4 linked regions of the Drosophila melanogaster genome follow. The protein of the gene in region 4 interacts with the protein of the main gene of each other region in a pairwise test. Each region holds a gene or a part of one and is shown on either strand. Other genes may lie near its edges.

The links.
Region 1: the proteins of CG14744 (region 4) and Sox21b interact in a two-hybrid assay, tested with the Drosophila melanogaster proteins (one large-scale study listed by BioGRID).
Region 2: the proteins of CG14744 (region 4) and Npl4 interact in a two-hybrid assay, tested with the Drosophila melanogaster proteins (one large-scale study listed by BioGRID).
Region 3: the proteins of CG14744 (region 4) and CG5568 interact in a two-hybrid assay, tested with the Drosophila melanogaster proteins (one large-scale study listed by BioGRID).

What each region holds. Positions count from the first base shown.
Region 1 is NT_037436.4:14,128,232-14,133,370, forward strand, and holds the start of Sox21b (Sox21b), read right to left. Parts: upstream 3,094-5,139; 5' UTR 2,907-3,093; exon of another isoform or gene 2,327-2,906; intron 1-2,326.
Region 2 is NT_033777.3:25,620,687-25,625,898, forward strand, and holds the start of Npl4 (nuclear protein localization 4), read right to left. Parts: upstream 3,060-5,212; 5' UTR 2,894-3,059; coding exon 2,792-2,893; intron 2,720-2,791; coding exon 2,486-2,719; intron 2,424-2,485; coding exon 2,266-2,423; intron 2,205-2,265; coding exon 1,676-2,204; intron 1,616-1,675; coding exon 1,417-1,615; intron 1,355-1,416; coding exon 1,194-1,354; intron 1,153-1,193; exon of another isoform or gene 1-1,152. Other genes in the region: Ssadh (succinic semialdehyde dehydrogenase), read right to left, coding at 4,246-5,212. UniProt on the Drosophila melanogaster protein: May be part of a complex that binds ubiquitinated proteins and that is necessary for the export of misfolded proteins from the ER to the cytoplasm, where they are degraded by the proteasome.
Region 3 is NT_037436.4:5,869,614-5,874,244, reverse strand, and holds CG5568 (uncharacterized protein), read right to left. Parts: upstream 2,745-4,631; 5' UTR 2,648-2,744; coding exon 2,480-2,647; intron 2,424-2,479; coding exon 1,912-2,423; intron 1,861-1,911; coding exon 903-1,860; 3' UTR 727-902; downstream 1-726. Other genes in the region: CG18586 (uncharacterized protein), read right to left, coding at 1-387, 445-612.
Region 4 is NT_033778.4:8,705,811-8,711,181, forward strand, and holds CG14744 (uncharacterized protein), read right to left. Parts: upstream 3,677-5,371; 5' UTR 3,559-3,676; coding exon 3,484-3,558; intron 3,423-3,483; coding exon 3,202-3,422; intron 3,143-3,201; coding exon 2,817-3,142; intron 2,761-2,816; coding exon 2,686-2,760; intron 2,617-2,685; coding exon 2,110-2,616; coding exon of another isoform or gene 2,106-2,109; intron 2,051-2,105; coding exon 1,911-2,050; intron 1,842-1,910; coding exon 1,607-1,841; intron 1,552-1,606; coding exon 1,268-1,551; 3' UTR 578-1,267; downstream 1-577. Other genes in the region: PGRP-SC1a (peptidoglycan recognition protein SC1a), read left to right, coding at 3,953-4,510; CG14743 (uncharacterized protein), read right to left, coding at 4,588-4,871, 5,058-5,292, 5,345-5,371.

The sequences.
Region 1 (5,139 bases), on a different chromosome or scaffold from region 4:
CGGGCATTACCACTTGGTGTTAAAGTAAAAATTGCCCAAGCATGCGTATTAAGCATGAAATTTATATTAAAAGAAAAGGGGGAGCTGGGAACGGGGAGCGGTTAGCAAAGGGACACGCATATTTGTAATCCTTATGGAGTGCAAACAAATTTCTGTGTTGTCAAGTTGCTCTCCATATTTTTGCTCCTCCTTTTTATGTTGCGAATTGGCAGAATACACTGAGAAAAATGAATTGATTATGTTTATTTGTGCCTCCACTCAAGGTATACGCTAAATTTCATATTTTGAAAACACTACGCATATATCAATTGATATGAAGTTGCATTTATGTTTGGATTTTTATTTTCGAACTAATTTAATTTTGTGATTATTCTAGTAATTGAAATGGCAATAAAACCGAAAATGACTATGTGGACATAACACTTGTTCCGATGTGGTGCAGTGTCGCAGTTGCAGTATCAGTTGCACCACAGGGCCACCATCCGAATCGACGGTTGCACCACCAGCTGTGCACAAATTGCACTCCAGATATTTTTATTTGCTGTGAATATGCCAGCTCCTCCTTTTGATTCGCTGCACCTCCACGCAGACCGAAATGCAGCTCCGATATTTATTTGTAACGGAAATGTAACCGTTAAACCCAAAAGCGTGGGTCTTCTCAGGGTGTTAATCTAGTAGCCTTAATAGATAACCCACCAGAGGCACCTTATGTCCGACTCTTTCTCATGGAAATCGAGTGCTGAAGCCGTTCTTCTGTTTCGGACTTCGTATCGTATCGCAGTAGGAGTAAAATTAACCCGCTGGCCACTTGAGTTTCGGGGGCCATATAGATCCACTCGTAACCCCCGACCAAGTTGGCCGTGTTGTTGCTGCTTCGCGTTCATTTGTTCATCCGTTTGTTGGTATGTCAAACAAGAATTATGATCGGCTTAGCCACATGCTGAGCCCGAGATCTCTCCCCCAGCCATATTCTTCTGCTCATTCTTTAGCGGCGAAGAGGAGTCTCGCGGTCTGCAGTCTTCCACCTCGTCTTCAACACAGGTAGAGCTTTAAGTGTCTCCACTTTGTGTTGAAATGTATCGCGGATACGCACCGGGTTTTCGGTCCCAGCAGACCCTCCATTCAAAAGTGTCGTCTTGCCCGCCCGCTGCGATCGGATCTTCTCAGGGCCCTAAGTCGCTGGGCCCCCTAATGTTTGTAATTAAGAACTTTCACACTCGCAACAATCGCCTCGTAAACGTGCCAGTGTCTCGATAACCACATACCCTGCTCCTCCAAGGTTTAGTGTCAAGTTTGTGCCAAGGGCTATCCAAAGGGCTATCGAAAAGAAAAAGAACCGATACAAAGTCAGCTAACCATATGTGTGCTGATACAGCCGGGTATTAATTAGAATTTTTTCATACTCTTCTTTGGATTATGCCTGTTTTTTTGAGCAAATTTATAAAGCGAACACAATGGCCAAAAGAATGGCGTAAAAATATTCGATTGACATCTGGTGCGCAAAATAATTTCAGAAAACTCTGTTTGCACAATTGGGTTTTTTGTGTGCTGGTCCAAAGTCGATTTCTATATGATGGGGGCGCGTCACATTAAATTCAATTGTTGTCACATTTTGTGTAAATATATTAATAAACATACGTTGTTTTTCCCTATTTCTTTTACTATTATTTGCTCTAATTGCGTCATTTCAAATTCTCTGGTGCTTTTGACTCTCTTTTCATTGCGGCTTTTCACATACCTTGAGTCGGTTTTCATTTATATTTCGAAATTAAGTTAACCAAACAACTTTGAATGCCCCTCAGAGAAAGAAAACGAGCTTGCTTTAATTCAAGTGGAAGATCGAAAGCAAAAGTAAACACACCTCGAGTGGGGCATAAAGATTCCGACAATGATTTCGCAGAAAATGAAAAGAGGAAAATCCTGAAATTATCCAAACAATAAAATCTGTTGATTCCCCTTGTATCTGACGCACTCAGACTCATTATGTGGAGCTCTCTCCGTGTTTACCTAATTGATGGTCAAGAAAAGTTGTTCAAATTGCGTTCTGAACGGCGGTGAATTAAATGAAATTTGTAAAGGGTTAAAGGGATTTTTAATTGATTTTTTACCTGCTTTCTGACTTGAAGTAATTTCAATTAACTTGGAAAACAATTTTAAGACTTATGCTCAGTTCTATGGGATCAGACTTTATCATAGATCATATTTTACTTTTACTAAAAAAATGTAAGTAAATGTGTTTATATGTAGTTTTGCTAATTAAAATCAAAGCAGCTAAGTTAAACAACTAACTAAAGAATCCATAATGTTTTGGCTTCAATGAAGTTACCTCGAAGAGTTCTGCATTTCCTTTAAATTTCCCGTTTTCCGGCGATTGGAATCAAATATTCGATGGCAGCATATATGCGGAATATACTACCGAATTATTTGGATAATATGTGTTTATGGTTTGTTTTTGTCGCTTATGAATTCCACTTTCCGAACTGCCATAAAATGTTGAATTTGTTGACTTTTATGGTCTTGAGCTGTTTCGTAACAGAATCTGTTTGACGAACACTTTTCCAATGGATATCACTAGTTTATGTTGACGTGTGTTGTTTGCTTTCCATTCATCGATAAGATACTTATGGTGCATCCAATGTTTTGATGCTACAAAGAATGGAGCTTGTTTGATTTGAAGTTTGCAAGATAAATAAGTAGCTTAGGATTTCAAAACTTTATGAGACTTTTAAATCGCTTTGCTTTATTTGGATTTGTATTTTGTTTCATTTCTATGAGCACTTTACGAGCGTTGAAAGTTGATATCATATGAGCACTGTTTTTTGAATTGGTTTGTGTTTTATTATTTAGTTAAATGGGAAAGAAAAGTTTGGTTTGTTTAGGATTCACTTTTACTTTGGGATATTTACCGAGAACAGTTTGTTTATGTTTTTAGTATTATCCTTTGTATTTTTTTTTTGCGAATATCGGTTGTTTCTTGGCGTTTCTTGTGAGGGGGCTAAAACCGTCGCTAGCTGTTGGCTGATCGGCTCTTCTTGGCCAAGTTGGCTGTTGCTGCATCTAAGCGCGCTTTGGCGGCTATTCAACGGATCCGTTCCGACGCGTAACTAAAAACTTGGCGCGCGCTCTCTTCAAAAACACACGAGCCAAAAAACGAGTCTTTCAGTCACCGAATGGGGCGGGGGGCGTGGCAGGTGGGGCGGTGAGACAGCTGCTATGTAACAGTATCGCTCCACAGAAGCACACACACACATACTCAGCAAATCCTCTCTGCAAAAGCTTGTGTTCTCTCTCGCTCTGGATTAATACTTTTTCCGAGAGCTTTCTTTCTTATTGGTTTGTTAAATGTTTTTTATAAGCCTGTTTATAAAGAAACTACATCCACAACAAATTCAAAATTGAGAGCAAAAATATCGTTGTATTGGTGAGAGAGAGGCCCAACGACCAGGTGACATTTCGTGAAGGAAAGAATAAAAAAAAATCCAAGAACTGCGACGTCAGGAAAAAAAAGACGAGAGCAACAGAGATAAAAAATGTCAGACAGAAAGGGATGCAGAATGCAGAGGCAGGGCGGTCAACCAGAGCAGGTGTTGCGTGGGAGTGCGAGCGAGATAAACGGAGTAGCTACTAAGCCACCATAGCCATTTCACTCTAAACAACGAGTCTCATGATGGGCGTTTCCAATTGGAATGCTTCTGGTTGGGGAAGGTTTCGTGTTACATGAAATGCCAAGTGGAAAATGGGGGTAAAGTGGGGGTCTACGACGGTCTCTTTACTGGTAAGAGGTGCCACCATTGGGAGTGAGCTTTTCGGGAGTTTCTCGATTATTTACCGCATTTGCTTAGAGACCAGCAAAGAGCGTCCAAAAAATAAAAAAAAGGTGAAAAACAAACTATCGAAAGCAAAATCAACTAATCTTAATGGACATTTATTTTTGAATCGAGCTGAACCGTGGAGATCTGAGCCTGACATCTGGCCCGCAACTACGATTCGCCTTTGGCCAATTCCCAAGCTCAAAATGGTGGATATGTTAACCAAGGTGGCCATAGTCCAAAATTGGTCCAGACAGACCACTTTGGGACACTTTATCTTTGGCTCAGACAAAGATTAAAGTAGTGTCTGTTGTAGATTCGCACATAGTACTACATTTTGATCTAAAAAACACGTTCTGTACTGGAATGACAATTAACGATTGAGTGTTTTGACCCACATGAAATACCATTTCCAAAATTAATTTTTTTATATCTGTGCATGATGACACCTGGACTTTAGGAGTATATAGTCCTGCAAAGTGCCTACTATTGCTTTGCAATTTTTCGTGTCTACATTATTGTTTTGTTAATTTGCTTTGGTGGTGGTGGCGTTGCCAGGACAACGGCTCGTAACTCCGGAGTCCCAACTCCATTCGCATTTGGTCGGGCTTTGTTCCAGGACTTTTTGTGTAAAGGGTTTTGGGTGGGCCAGGGCATTACGCAGGTGTTGCCATTGTTTCAGGGCGGTTTTTAGCGCATTTTGATTTCCATTCACTCTGTCGTGTCGAGTTCTGTCGTCTGGCACTTTGGCTTCGTTTTAATTAACAACGAACTAATGACAAATGCAAACAGTGTGTACCTGCTATAAGATGAAACTACCTACTAGCACTCTAATTTAATTTGACTCTAATGACCTAAGCCTTTCCTACATGGGAGATAGTGGAAAAGTCTGAGAAAAGAGGAGTACTTGCTGCCTTTTTGCCAATTGTCAGCAAACAATTGCAAGTTGGAAACAATGGCGCACATTTTTCCAGCCCCAACTTGACGAACTGAGTGAGTGACGAAGGGCTTGCTGGATGGATAGATGGATGGACTGCAACTGTTCCATTTATTTGGACCTGGTTTTCCCCTCTCGCTCTCTCGTCTTCTACCGCTCCCTGTCGCACTCTATGTACTGGTTGTGTCCATTGTCTTTGGCTATGTCCCCTTCTCTTTCGCTCTGTCTGTCTCGCTTCCTCAGTTAGTCAGCCATTGTAATTATACACTGCACTCACCTGAATGCCTAAAATGGCTGTGCTAGCTATTGAATGGGGTTTGTCAGATATTCAAGTTAAATGGATAATTAGTTTTTCGTTAAAGTATGATAAAATACACCTTTTTTTAAAGTTCC
Region 2 (5,212 bases), on a different chromosome or scaffold from region 4:
ACTCGACATTTTCAGCAACAGAAGCCAATTTTTTTAACAAAGAAAGAAAGAATTTTTATAAACAATTTACAACTTATTGAAACGTTTTGGATGCTATTTTAAATAAAAAAAAGACTATCAATGATCTATAAACATTTCAGATTCATGGACAAGGTGGAAATTGTAACAGACCTTGAGTATTTAAATAAGTTTAGCTTAAGGAAAACGACACTAAATGTGCGTTGGAGCGCTACGACGATACCTGGATATAGTAAATTAGCTACAATAAAAACTTAAAAATTTGAAACCACGAGTAAGGTGAAATCCAAATACATAGCTGACATGTAATTAATGTCAATTCAAGTTAATAATTAATATGAAATAAACCTATTAGCAATAAGTAAATAAACGAGATAGTTTTCGGTGTCTAAATATGCATTTGATGTGATCATAACTAAGGCTATGTTTGTGATGGATGAAATAATGAACGCCAAGAATAGCCATCCATAAAAATAAGGGAATCAAGTAATAATATGACCTTAGCGATGTAAAGGAAGGCAAAGAATCTTTTTAGGAACAAATCGAAATCAATTTTACGAAATTTGTAGACTTATTATACTTTAAATTATTTTAAGTAATCAATCAATCAACGATTAACTTCAATTGAAAAGAAAAAAATCAAATCGAAATCTTATATTTTCCAAAATAATAAAAACGCGTATCACAATTAAGCATTAGATAGAACAAAACAGTTTGGCAAAATAAAAATAAATAAAAAAAAATAAGGGTAATAACTGGAAAATTGTGATTGGCTTGGCAGTTGCTCAGAAAGTTATTTTAACAATTGAATATGCGCTAAATAACAACATTGTTTATGAATGTCCTAGGTATAGGAAAAATAAAATGAACGTTTGAAGGAGAACCCAGAGCAATGATGAGAAGTACAAACCGAGAAGGATAAGGAAAATAATGAAGTTGTTCCATAAATAAATCAACGTAATCCAAGATAATGTAAGCCTCTAGATGTCAAATGTTTGAATTGGCGTTGCTCTTGACACCCAAATTTTCTTTGCATGTATCAAACTGAAAAACCAAATCCCATTCGTATTGATGTCTAAATATGGAAGTTGTTTGTGTAAATGTGTGAACGTAATTCAATAAAGGTTGCCCGATAACTGATTTTGCTTGAATGGGGGGGAGACTTTCTAACTTACCTTATAGAAAACGTCGGGAACATACTGCTTGTCCGTGGATTCACGCACGTAGCCCAGCTCGGGCGCATCCTTAGTGGGTATCAGACAATTATCGCGCACCAGAGCCATGCACTGAGCCGAAACCGCATAGCCTTCCATGTGCACTTGTTTGGTTTTATCTCCTGTAATGTTAAAAACTATTTTGGTACTAGTTCATTAAGCAGTATTAAATCGTGAATCTTACCTGTTACACAAATGGTCACAAACTTAGAGCCGAAGACGCCATTGGAGGCATATTTACACGGATTTGGATGTCGATTCTGCAGCTCGCCAGCTGTGATGCACTCCTGGGCCGTAATAAAGTGCGACTCGATGCCACGGATCTGTTTGACAGTGCCGATACTCGCATCGTCCGTGATGAGATCAGTGAAAATCCAACCAATCTATAAATGTCACAAAAGTCAATACTAATGCTACATAGCTACTGTCTATAACTAACTAACCTTCTTCAGTCCCAGCGCACTGGCTACGGCATCCACATCGTCGGCGAACTCATCCGGCTGAATATTGATCGAATCCCTGGTAGACTCTTGTGGCGGCTCATAAATGGCAGCCACCTTGGCCCGAATGCCCAACGGAACATCAGTGTGCTGCTCGTACGTCCCATACAGATATCCCATGCGCTGGTGTCCTGTGGTGCGCCAGTAGTTGAGGAAGCGCTCCACGATCTTAGTGTTCTCGAACATGACGTTGTCCACGTGGCGATATGTCTGACGATTCAGCGTAATGGCCGACGGCTGGCACTTGGAGCAGATGCCCTTGGGCCATGGTGGATGCTCGCGACATCCCGGCTTGATGCGGCAATTGATGTCGTCGAAGACAAAGTACTTGCCCTGATCCATGCCGGATGTCTGCTTTCGTATGTACGAGTGGAAGGACAAGTGCTTGATATTGTGCTCCTTCAGATAGGACTCATCATAGGGCTCCAGTGCGGAGCAGTGAACGCAACGGCCGTTGGCATTGTGGTGGCACCTACAAAAAGTTATAGGTTGATCAGTTTAATTTTACAATTAATTGTATAATCAAGGCCTACAGCTTGCTATCACGTTCGCGCTTAATGGTGCCATCAGCCTTGCTCAGAGCCTGGTCCACGTCATCTTCGATCACATTGAAGGATGGACGAGCGCTGTTTGGATTGCTAATGGTGCTAGTCTTGAACGCCTGACTGTCCAGGACAGTGGTGCTAGTGCGCTGAGAAGTGGTGAAAAATGCAGGTTAGTCCCCGATCGTTCTGCTCTATATGATCAACTTACGCGCGATGATGTGCCAGCCATCTGTTTTAAGTAGACCATGTCGCCATGCCTCAAGGAAGTCCCCACCAGCTGGGAGCCACTTGCCTGCAGCTCTGTGAGGAAGTTGCGCTCCTTGAAGAGACCAAATCCATCCACCTTCAGGGCATTCTGAACGCTGTCGTACAGATGCTTTAGATTTGACTTGGGCGAGATCTCGATGCGTTTGATGCCCTCCGCCGACTGAACGCGAATTAGCTGGAATTAACAAATGAATAACAGATTCTAATTAGTACTAGGACAGGTGAATTTGGCAATTTCTGATCCAACCGATTGTTTACATAACACAAACAGACGATGGCGCACAAAGGCGTAGGCGAAATTGCGCTTCTTGTAGATGAATTGCTCGAGCAGCAGTGGTGCACAGGCCATTTTCTGGACTTTCTGGACGGGTCACTGGGTGATGGGCGGTTGGGTGGGCTCTTGTGTGGGCGGTGGTGGGTGGTAGATTGGGTAAGGGGGATTGTCAAGTGTAGCTATTAGCTACCAAAGCCTGTAGGGCTTTTTGCTTAGTGTTTCGAACTGTACGTCATGAAGGCGCGAACTTGACTGCGGAAATTTATCTGGCATCGCAATTAAAAACAAATGCAATTCGTTGCCAAAATGAGTGCATAGTTAAAAAGAGAACTAATGCCTGTATATGTAAATTCGGATCTGTAATTGTATGAGCTTTAAATAAAAAATAAAACAGCATTTTGAAAGACAAGCTGCATGCAGTTTTAAAACAAAAAAATTATATTAAATTTGTATTTAAAATTTTAAGTTGTGCTATTTACTGGTATGTGCAGTTTTCTTATTTTACAAAACATATATTTCAAAAATTAATTTTACGCAGAGACATTTTTCTGAGTGTAGCACCCTATCAACCAGAAATTGCTTTATTAGACAGAAATATCCTCAAATGCATTTCCCCCAGGCGGATTGCAGCCAACAATTGTTAATAATTTATTTGGTTTTTGGATCGGTTTTTGGTCTCAAAACCCCCGCACACTCCCCTCAGTCCTACTGCCGCCTAGACTGCACTCTTTCAGTGGAAAATCTACAAGTCATGGTACCATTCAATTTCACCGCCAGCACCTTTGGCCGCATTTCGGGACTTGCAGTGGATTTGCACTGCCGGGAGTGCTTCCAAATGGGTTCATTATGCATTATATGCTTCGCTTTTGCCGGCTGAAATGCACTTTAAATATATTTTCCATACATTTAGGCAACAACAACAAACGCCAGCGAACTGGAAAACCGACATTGTTTGCCGGCTTTTTTGGTGGGTAGCTATAGGGAAACACTTGACCAATTTCACTGCACACACTTCACCAATAAGACATTCGCTTAGTTTCCACCCTAAATGCACTTTTTAATTTTTTATCAACAATTTACTTACAATTTTGTCATTTGGCATTGTAATTTTGTCTCTGTCTCTGTCGCACAGCTGTGGGGATGGCGATAGTCTGCCCAGAGGTGGAGAAAAATCGATTACTCCCGGATATCGATGTCTCTATGATCGGTTTCTTGTCAATTTAAAGCGATTGTTAACCAATCCCAATTAATCGAAAGGTGAGGCGGGCTATTTTAAAAAAGGGAAATTATCTATTAGCTTCAGGTAGACTTTGTGCACATTTATTAATATAGCGGCGTGTTATTCTACAATTAGACAACAATAAACCAATCGCATTCTAGTGGAAGACAGCGTATGAAAGCAGTGGGGGTGATCCCTCCATCGGACTTCAGTCGTACTTGAGGTTGCCCATGCAAATGTACTTGATGTCCACATAGTCGTCGATACCGTGTTTGGAACCCTCCCGTCCGACACCGGACTCCTTGACGCCACCAAACGGAGCCTCTGCTGCGGAGATGATGCCTTCGTTGACGCCGACCATGCCAACCTCCAGTCGCTTGGCCACCCGGAACACCTGCTGCAGATTCTCGCTGTAGAAGTAACCGGCCAGGCCTCTCCTGGTGTCGTTTGCCTTCTTTACCGCTTCTTCTTCGTCTCGGAACCGTATGATGGAGACCACTGGACCAAAGACCTCCTCCGAGTAGAGTTGCGCCGAGGGTGGCACATCTGTGACAATTGTGGGTGCGTAGAAAAGGGATCCCTTGTCGGGCAACGGCTGTCCGCCCAGAATAATGTTCGCCTTCTTCGACCTGGCGTCCTCCACAAAGCCACTGACTTTGTTGAACTGCATCTCGTTGATCAGTGGTCCGATTTGCACATCGCAACCCTGACCATCTCCGATCTTCAAAGCTTCCACGCGTTTTTTCAGCTGCCCAACAAACTTATCGTAGACGCTGTCCTGGACAAAGAATCTATTGGCGGAGACGCAGGTCTGTCCGCAATTCCTAAACTTCGAGGCCATGGCGCCATCCACTGCTTTTTCAATGTCCGCCGAATCGAAGACAATGAACGGAGCATTGCCGCCGAGCTCGAGACAAATCCTTTTGATGCCATCAGCAGAGTTCCGGAACAGCAGTTTGCCCACCTCAGTGGAGCCCGTGAAGGATATACCCCTAACATCGGGACTCTTGCAGAAGAGATCGCCAATGGGAGCCGCTTTGTTTGTGGTGACCACATTTATCACACCCTTTGGAATGCCAGCGTCCACTGCCAATTTGGCCACAGCCAGGGCAGTAAGAGGAGTGTCTTCTGAAGGTTTCACCACGACCGTACATCCTGCGGCCAGGGCGGCTCCT
Region 3 (4,631 bases), on a different chromosome or scaffold from region 4:
ATTCTGCATCACTGGAGTGGTCAGAACATCCTGGATCCTCACTGATCCCCTCGGATGATTCCGCATGGTGACTATCGTTACCTGGAGGTCCTTGGTGGCCGATTTAACCTTTTCATACTCATCACCATCGCAGAAGATCAAGCGGGGCTTTGTGATTCCAAAAAGTTTGGCGATGCATGCCTCTTCGTAGGCATTGTGAAGGGCGTGTAAGGGGGTTCCGTTGAAGAAGCATGCATATGCCACAGCTGATTGGTGAGTCGTGTGTCTGCCCATGACCCCCACTATATCAGTTTGCCCCAAGCCCATATTCCTCATATAACTAGCCACTCGCATCGCATTCATATGAAGATCTTCGCGGGTGAGTACGATGTCCTCCGTGATCGAGATCTGGTGGTTCAATGCAAATCTATACATTTCTCTGATTTCGAGAGAAAAGAAACTCACCTGGGCAATGAGTTTCGGATTGTTTACCATATCCCCAAAGATTATCTCTCCGATTGATAAGTTTGGCGAAAATAAACTTGGTGCTTCACGACCACTCCAGATCTTGAGTTTATCATCATAAGTGCACATCGCGTTCAATAGTTTTTGTTTTACTTCCATTTCAGCCATTATAAGAAAATGCTGAGTCGATTATTAGTTTTTAAGTAAATTATGCTATTATAACCCCTCGTATCAGCAATGCTATTTCACAGCAATAATGTACATAATTACGAAAGATCAGCTGTATTAACGATTTTGTAATCGATATGTGTTTCGGTATTATTTTACTCGGCGAATATGAAAAAATGCCTAAGATGGCGAACCTCTTAAAAAGCTTACGATAAATACAACAAATACAAATACAAATACAATAAAAATACAAATACAACATAAACATTACAATAATTAAATATGCAAAACTAATTCTTCTCCATAATTCGTAAAAACTCAGCTTTTGTGGCCGCTCTGTTTGCTTTTCTATTGCCACTCTGAATAATGTGATCCACAATCAAAGCTCCTCCATTCAACTGCTTAAATTTGGCAGGTATACGTTTCCTCACATACTCCACAACATCCTGGGCCTCTAGTTGGGTTCCTTGTTTCTTGACCACTGAAGCGGCTGCCTTATCTCCATAAACGGGATCCCAAATGCCAAAGACACAAGCTTCCACAACATTTGGCATTTCAGCGATGACACTTTCAATCTCGCTGGGGTAATACATGATGGTCTGATACTTGAGCATATCCTTCAAGCGATCGATAATGAACAAATATCCATCCTCGTCCATGTAGCCCAGGTCCCCGGTGTGAAACCAGTTCTCCGAGTCCTGCATCTTCTTCGTTTCTTCCGGATTCTTGTAGTAACCAGGCCATTTCTGACCATTATTGAAGCATATCTCGCCCACGACATTGGGTCCTTGTGCTTCACCCAGCTCGTTGACTATTTTGATTTGAATGCCTCTAACCGGACGACCCACTGAATTGGGTTTCTCATCGAAGTTGAAGTTTAGGCATCCGGGGCTGTTCAACTCGGTTAGTGTATAACTGAAATTTACACATTCGTTGCTTAGACGGCTGCGAATTTTGTTCTGGACTTCCAGTGAGCAGTTTGATCCGCCGTAAAAGAAATACTTCACGGATGATAGGTCCGCCGCATAGAATTCCGGGCAATTGGACAGCATCGCCAATTGCGAGGAACTTACGAACACCATCGATATTCGATACTTCTCAATTAGGCCACACAAATTGGCAGGATCAAAGTCACAATCTTCAATTATACTAGTCAAGCTAAACACGGCTGCATTGATGGTCATCGTGATGCCTGATGCCCAATCCAAAGTGTTTGGGTTATACTGAATAATCGAGCTATCCACGGGTCTGAAAATAATAAATTAGATGGGTGTATAAAATTAAGGTGGTAATATTTACAGAAAACTCCCAATAATCTGGTGACTATTGCTAATGGTGACTGCCTTTGGAAGGCCGGATGTTCCCGAAGAGCTAAGAATGGCCAGTAGTTGATCAGTACCGTCTTTCAGTCGCACTGGTCGAAAGTTCATCTCCACGGGAGTGGTTAAAATATCCTGAATTCTCAATATTCCTGCCGGGTGATTACGCATGGTTACTATTTGTACCTGAAGGCCTTTGGTGGCTGCTTGAACTTTCTCAAACTCATCTCCATCACAGAAGATTAAGCGTGGCTTGGTTATTCCGAACAGTCTCTCGATGGCAGATTGTTCGTATTCGGTGTGTAGGGCATGATAAGGAGTTCCATTAAAGAAACAGGCATAGGCCAGAGCAGTCAAGTGAGTGGTCAACCTGCCAATGACTCCCACAAAGTCACCTTGCTCCAGACCCAGTTTACGCATATAACTTGCCACCTTCATCGCGTTTGTCTGGATGTCTTTCCAGGTCAGCTCAGTGTTTTCTGTAACTGAAATCTAAAGGTTTTGTTTCGATGAATATAAATATTGTTTCTTGTAAATTTATTAAGTACCTGGGCAGTGAGCATAGCATTGCGCTCCATTTGTTGAAAGATAATTTCTCCAATGGACAAATCTGGTGAGAATAAACTGCGTTTTTCGCCACCACTCCAGATCTTTAAGTTTTCATCAAAGGTGTTTCTTGTCTTAAAGGGCGATTTTCCCGCTTGCAATTCACCCATTTTGTATAATACGTTAAGAATTAAAATGAAGGCTTATAATTTATATATCTCTCTAACTTCTGTGATAGTAATACCATAAAAACGAAAGTGATAGACGCAAGAACTCGAATTTAAAGCTTCAAGTTAGGTCTCACCATTATCAACTGACTTATTATATCGATATTTCTTTGAGCTAAGAAAGAGATACTAAAAGTTTTGTTCATAAGTGAATTTATTTCATCTACCAATCAATTATTCCGTCACTGTTGCCATACTAATCATATTTACTATTTATGTTTACTTAAGCAATGATTAATTGCCAAGACTGTTTTCATGACCGCTGATAATCCGATTTTGAGATTGCATCCCATAGTAAAATACTCAAAAAGATGTCGAAAAGTGTTTCAGCAAATGGTCAGCTGGGCTGGACTGGAATCTCCACCACCACCAACAATAAGATTATGATAATGGGCAGCCGTCAAAGAGAGGATTATGGGTTTTGGAAAACAAGTGGATTAAGGGGTTGACAATTGGGGGAATGTGCTGTCAGGAATTTGGCTTTTGCGTTTTGCATTTGTTTTTACGATTATGACCGACATGGATGGATCGGAATCGAAATCGTTCAGTTCTGCTCTGTCCCATTATGATGCGCTATTTTGAGTGACCCTGTCCTCCGCAAACATAGCGAAACTAATAAGTAAAATGTGTTTTTCAAACATTGATTTCGGCCAGTGCGTGGTGGGTGGTGTTTTAGGAAACACACACACACACACCCCCTTTTCGAGACGACAACATTTGTCATAAGGCCAAGACAGCCTCAACAGTTGTTGGCGATTATCATTTTGACAGTTGCTTCTCGCTTCGCTTTTGTTTCAGTTCCCTTGGCTGCGTTTTGGGCCTTGATTTATGCATTTTTAAGCGGTTCACTTATTGTTTCTGCGCACAAATATGGCCAAGTATCTCGGTATCTGCGAGATACAATCCCCTAGTCAGCCCTTGCCGCGTAATTTGTTGATTTATTGCAAGGCTGCCACTGCAGGCATCTTCATTAAGCAGCACTAGCTTCCGTTTTTTATCCGGCCACGCCCGTCGTCTTGCAGCGCCCACGATTCGCTTTCATTATCATTATCCTGCCGGCATTGTCCTTAGCCTCGTTTGTCATGCTCGGTGCGTCTGCTTAAGTTTTCGCACGCTCCAACGCCTCGGCTTCCTTGGCGCAGCCTTCAAGATGTGGAAATTGAATTGAAAACGTGCTGAAGCGTTAAATGCTCTTGTGTCAACTGCTTCCAATCCACCCAAACCTCCTCGCCCCCAAATGTCCTTCTGTCCATCACATTTCGTCCTGTGTGTGTGGCGACATATGAGAATTTGTAACCTCAGCACAAGCTGGTCCGAAGTTGCGGCTGCGTCGGCCGTTCTCCGCTCGCCCCCCAAAAAGTTCCCGGCCAAGTGGCAAGTGGCAAGCAAGCGGGCCATAATTAATTCCAAATTGCATCCGCAAAGGATTGCCAAGTTTCGCTGGCCAAAACTTATCGAAGGTACGATGCAGAGTGTGTTGCTTAAGGGATTACCGAAAATCTGCTTTTCAATATTGCTCATCTCTTTAAGAGCTAAGTAACTGTTCAGGAGCAAGAAAATTCTTACCCAATGTAATTTATTTGTAATTTTTTTTATATTTATAGCCTAAAAGTATGCTATTGCGTTTTATAAAGTTCCATATTTGGCCGGTAATGATGATGGCGCTATTCTACTTTGTACTAAAATTATATCGGCGACATCTAGCGAACATTGTGTGAAGTCGCAGCAGCTACGAAACGCCATCTGCTGGTCGAGCTGAGTTTCATAGCTATTAAACTATGTCAGTCAGAAACGTGTACAACAAATATATGCAAGGAAGTCTGTAGTCAAGCTGTCTAAAGTGTCTGTCTAGACAGCTGGTGGTTGCGGTTCAATCCCAACTTTGGTCAGCACATTTAGTTTGTTTTTGTTTTAAATTAAAATATTG
Region 4 (5,371 bases):
GCCGTTTTTGCATTCGATTCGGGACTGCGAGGCTATGTAAGAACGTGAAGGAGAATGCAAAACAATTTGGTAACAAGCAAAATGCATCAAATCTCATGGCCACGGAGCCCTTCCAAGCTGGGTGAATCGGAATACGATTCGGAATCTCGAGTGGCGAGTGGCGGCGAGGGGAGAAACCAAAGCTGTTGCAAAAACATGTCACATTAAGTGCACAGATAGAGGTTCTGGCGGACGGACTGATGGACGGATGGACAGATAGACGGGAAGTCTGAAGGAAGTTGAGTGCTTTTATTGCTGCCGGAATTCTGCGTGCCATTTGCCTTGGTAGTTGAAGCTGCAAGTTGGCTTTCGCCTTGTCTTTTTCCCTACACTTGAGCCAGCAGCTCTTGTTTATGCAATTGTACTTAAATCCAATGGTTATGTTTCAGCTGCAGTTGCCATAATGGCCGGAATCAAGTGGAATCTACATCTGCAGTCGATATTAATACTGCTCCGGCGAAGCATCGAAAGAATGCTTTAGATATCTTCCGGTGCAGGGTAAACTTTGAAAACTCCAAAAAAAATATTCACATTTTCCCAACCTTGGGCATCAACTATTGTACAAATCCAAGTAGTCTATATTTGTTAAATAACTTTAAAGTTTAAGCTAGGAATATATTTGGCAGTAATATCTTTGCACTCCGTTAAAACATTCTCTGATCGATTGTCTTTGTTTATCTACAAAGCTGAAGTATCAGTTGGAGTATCTTTGGCGCACAAATCACTCGTCCGTCCCATGAAAGTTGACGGGACACCAACCTCCTCCAGACACTTTAACCGTAATTAACACGGAGCTTTCCCCATCGTTTCGTTGCCATCAGTTTCCCTTCATTATGCAATACGCTTTTATTCTGTGGAAAAATGCAGGGAGAAGTGGAGCGTCGGGGCAGGACAGATTGCCAAGGGAGTCTCCTTCTGCATTTCAATGGACCTCTGTCAGTGTTTCGCCTTTTGCCGACGCCTTTCGAAAGCATTTCCTCTTCATTCACTTAATTAGTCAGTACCTTTGCTGACGCAAAATCCCAATTATGCTGGTATATTTTCAAAGCAATCATATTTGGCAGTACCAGGGATCAGATCAAAGCTGAGATAAATCCATGAAATATACTTAGTGTAAACGATACGTGATTAAATATTATTGAAAGGAGCTATGCTGGTTAAGGAGCTTCCTTCACTTGTTTCATTTTTAATAACATATCTCATATCAAGACCATATGTATATTCCAAATCATATTGGCTTAAAGTGCTGATCTCTGGAAAATTCATGAACAACATCCCACTCCACACAGACCGCATATAAGAGGAACTGCAAGTAAACGAGCCACAGGAAAACTCCAGCGGATCTACGAGCGTGGAAATCGAAGGTGACGCTCCACCACATTGTGGTCACAATGGTTATTACCAGAAAGAGGTAGCAGTTGTCGCCCAGATCGCCGTACACCCACGAATTGGCGCCCACTTCACGTACTCTGTGATTGAATATAAAGGCCAAGCTCATGCTAACCAAAATCGCTGAAATATCGAATACATCAGGTAACCATTAATGGAAAATATAACTTTTGCTTACCAAAAACTGGACCTCCTATTATGGCGGCGAAGGCCATCCGCCCATAGCCCTGCAAGGCCAGCTGGTAATTGGCTATAATGTCCGGAGTGGCATTGGAGACAGCCTCAAAGGTGACCGCCATGAAGCTCTCGGACAGATTGAATACGATGCCCACAATCTCGGAGAGCACTTCCAGTTCTGTGACGGCGAGCCAGAGCGTCACCATGGAACTGAAAAACGTGAGGATAATAAACAGCTAGGAAGGAAGGTTGATACCCATTCGAGTCTAATCAGCACGCAGTGGTGCTGCTTTGGATCTTCTTACGTGGTGATAGCTGGGCGGCACATCCGTTCGAGAGTGCAGGAAGATCACAATGGCTAGCGGGACTGTAAGGCACGGCGACCACATGGAGATGCTGAAGTCGAGGGTTATGTGCCAGGTTTTGTAGACGCTGGACACCCCAGCTGAGGGTCAGCGAGGTTTAGGAATCAAATGCACTTCTGATGTACTCCCGCATACCTACAGTGCACCAGGGTAATGACCACGAAAGGATTCGTCACGATCTGCGTGCAGTTGAGCAGCTTACTCCAGCCGTGCTTGATCTTTTCGTAGTCCACCACGGGTATGAAGAGCTGCAGTACGAACACCAGGGGGCACCTGGCAATCAGGTATATTCGATTGCTCCACCCACCCAGCTGCCACGCCTCTGCATCAACGGGATTGAGAGACTGGAAGAACTCCGTGAAAAGTTGTAGGTTTTTAGGATTCTCCGAGTCATGGAGCGCTGTGCGATTTAACTCGTAGTCAACGTGTTCGGATCGTCTTTCTGGGATGGGGGTTACAAAGTAGCCACTACTGGTCATATTTGAGAAGTGGTTTCCCGTGTCTCTGGACCGACGGTACTTTGTGGTGTCCTTAATCCCAATGTCATCCTGCTCTTCCCAAGATATTAGCTTTCTTATCTTTGCATTTATTTCTGTTATTGGTGGAGGAGTTAGGCCCTCCAAATAGTCCAGTTCTCTTCGAAGTTCTGAATGGTAAATGTAATTAGTTGCTATTATAACTAGAGTAATTAAAAAATTGGGGGAATATTCCTTACTTCTGATGTAGTACCGCAGCAACGCCAAATCAGCTATATTAATAGCCACGTAAACAACGTAAATTAAGAAGAGCACTGAAAGTAGGTTTTAAAGATCAGTGAGTTGAGGCAAATCCAAAATAGATTCCTACCTATACCCTCTCCCAGGGTCACTGCTCCCTCCTTGATCATCACAAACCTCAGGACCTCCACACCCAGGAGAAGAAACAGTAGATCTCGCAGAGTGGAATGTCCGTTCATCCTAAAGGGTCTCAGAAAACACACTGTACCTCCACTCAGCAGAATGATGGCCAGAGTATTACCCACAGTTATGGTAAAGATGGGTGCATCGGCCCTCACGGGCATCAGATTAGCTATTATTTCTGGACTGCAGTTACCAAAAGCCAGAAAGGTAACTCCTGCCAGGTACTCATTCATGTGCAGCTTTAGCGAGATGATCTTGAGGACTGGAGAAAAACTTAATGCAGGATTTCGAATGAGCAATCAGAGGAATGTGCACTTTATCCAAAAACTTACTAGGTACCAATATTGAAGGACATCAGCCACAGAAACGCCACACATATGAAGGCAAACAGCAACATGAACAGGACCTCTGTTGCTTTGTCATCGATGTCAATTGAGCAGTACATCATCCTGAAGTAATTGAAAAAGTTTATAATGCGCTTGCAGTCACTCACTTGGGTGGCCATCCTGCAGCGATAGTTGTACGGAAGTCTCATCACGGCCCTACAACTCATCTGTAAGAGCCAACAAATGCTATGGCCACCAATTTCTCACTGTATTCTCACAATATCTTACATTCTTGATGAAGTAGTGAAATTCGTGGTCCAGTTCTGTTATGTTAAATTTAGTCCTTTTCGTTCGCCCACTCATTGTATTCAAATTCTTCCCTCAAAGTCAAAAGAATATGCTGAGAATTAAATTTAGAACTGACGAGAATCGAACAACACTCCTTGACTTTTTCTACAAAGACATTCAGGTGACCGGCCAATGTGTCGACCCCAGCACATTGATAAAGCATTTATTTAGAAGAACCACATTCATAAAACGCTGAATAAATCAACACCCGAAGATTGCGATTGTGACGAGGCTCACGCCAAGGGTCTTCCCCTAATACGAACCTAAACATGTGCCATCGACGAGGGCTGTAAATTAGCCATGAACCACCAGATAAGATGGCAACCCATACGCATAACTGATGCTATATAAGCGCCACGGCGACCCACGATCTCCATCAAGCGATCGTCAACTATTACAGCTGGTAATCATGGTTTCCAAAGTGGCTCTCCTCCTCGCCGTCCTGGTCTGCAGCCAGTACATGGCCCAGGGCGTCTATGTCGTCTCCAAGGCGGAGTGGGGTGGTCGCGGCGCCAAATGGACCGTAGGCCTGGGCAACTACCTCAGCTACGCCATCATCCACCACACCGCCGGCTCCTACTGCGAGACCCGTGCCCAGTGCAACGCCGTGCTGCAGAGCGTCCAGAACTACCACATGGACTCCCTGGGCTGGCCCGACATCGGCTACAACTTCCTGATCGGCGGAGACGGCAACGTGTACGAGGGGCGTGGCTGGAACAACATGGGCGCCCACGCCGCCGAGTGGAACCCCTACAGCATCGGCATCAGCTTCCTGGGCAACTACAACTGGGACACCCTGGAGCCGAACATGATCTCCGCCGCCCAGCAGCTGCTCAACGACGCCGTCAACCGTGGCCAGCTCAGCTCCGGCTACATCCTGTACGGTCATCGCCAGGTCAGCGCCACCGAATGCCCCGGCACCCACATCTGGAACGAGATCCGCGGCTGGTCCCACTGGTCTGGCTAGGTCCTTGACACAAACCACGCTAAATAAAGTTAAACGCACCATAATCGTGTTTTTTGTCTTGGCAATACATTGGTTTATTAGGCAGTCGGGCGAATCTGAATATTGTCTTGGAAGCCATGGACCCACTGCAACTCTATGGCCGTAGTGTAAACTAGGAACAACACGAATAGGGACCACATGAACAGCCCAGCGGATCGGCGGGCAACAAAGTTGAAGGTGAGGCACCACCACAAGGTGGTTGTGATGGTTATCACCAGGAATATGTAGATGGTTACACCGTCATCTCCATACAAGACTACTTGACCGCGGGAGTTGAGTTTCTTCTGTAAGACCAATTCGATGCCCACATTGACTGCCAAACCTGCGGGAAAAGACTGTTTTACTTATGACCTCTACAATGACCTTAAAGCAGAAGCCAAATCATTGATTGATGATTGATGAGCATGATTCCTAGAGAAACTGGTTTTCTGAGATTTGAAAACAATTTTAGATGCTGAAAATTGACATTGGATAGTCTAGCACGCAATTATCGACTTTTACCACTAACTATAAACAGAACCACCGATGATGGCTCCAAAAGCCATCTTTCCGTATCCATGCTTGGCGAGATGTGCGTAGGCTATTAAGTCAGCTGTGGCAGCGGACACCGAGTTGAAGGTGATGCTCATGTAGGACGGGGCCAGATCAAAGACGACCCCAATTATGGATATCAGCGCATCCATTTCCCAGGCACAAATCCAAAAGAATATAATCACGGTGGAGATTGTAAGCGCGCAGTAAGACTGTCGAAGTTTAAGGGTAATTTATTGCTTTCTCTAAAGAAATCGATCTTACCGAGTGATAAAATGGCGGGATGTCAGT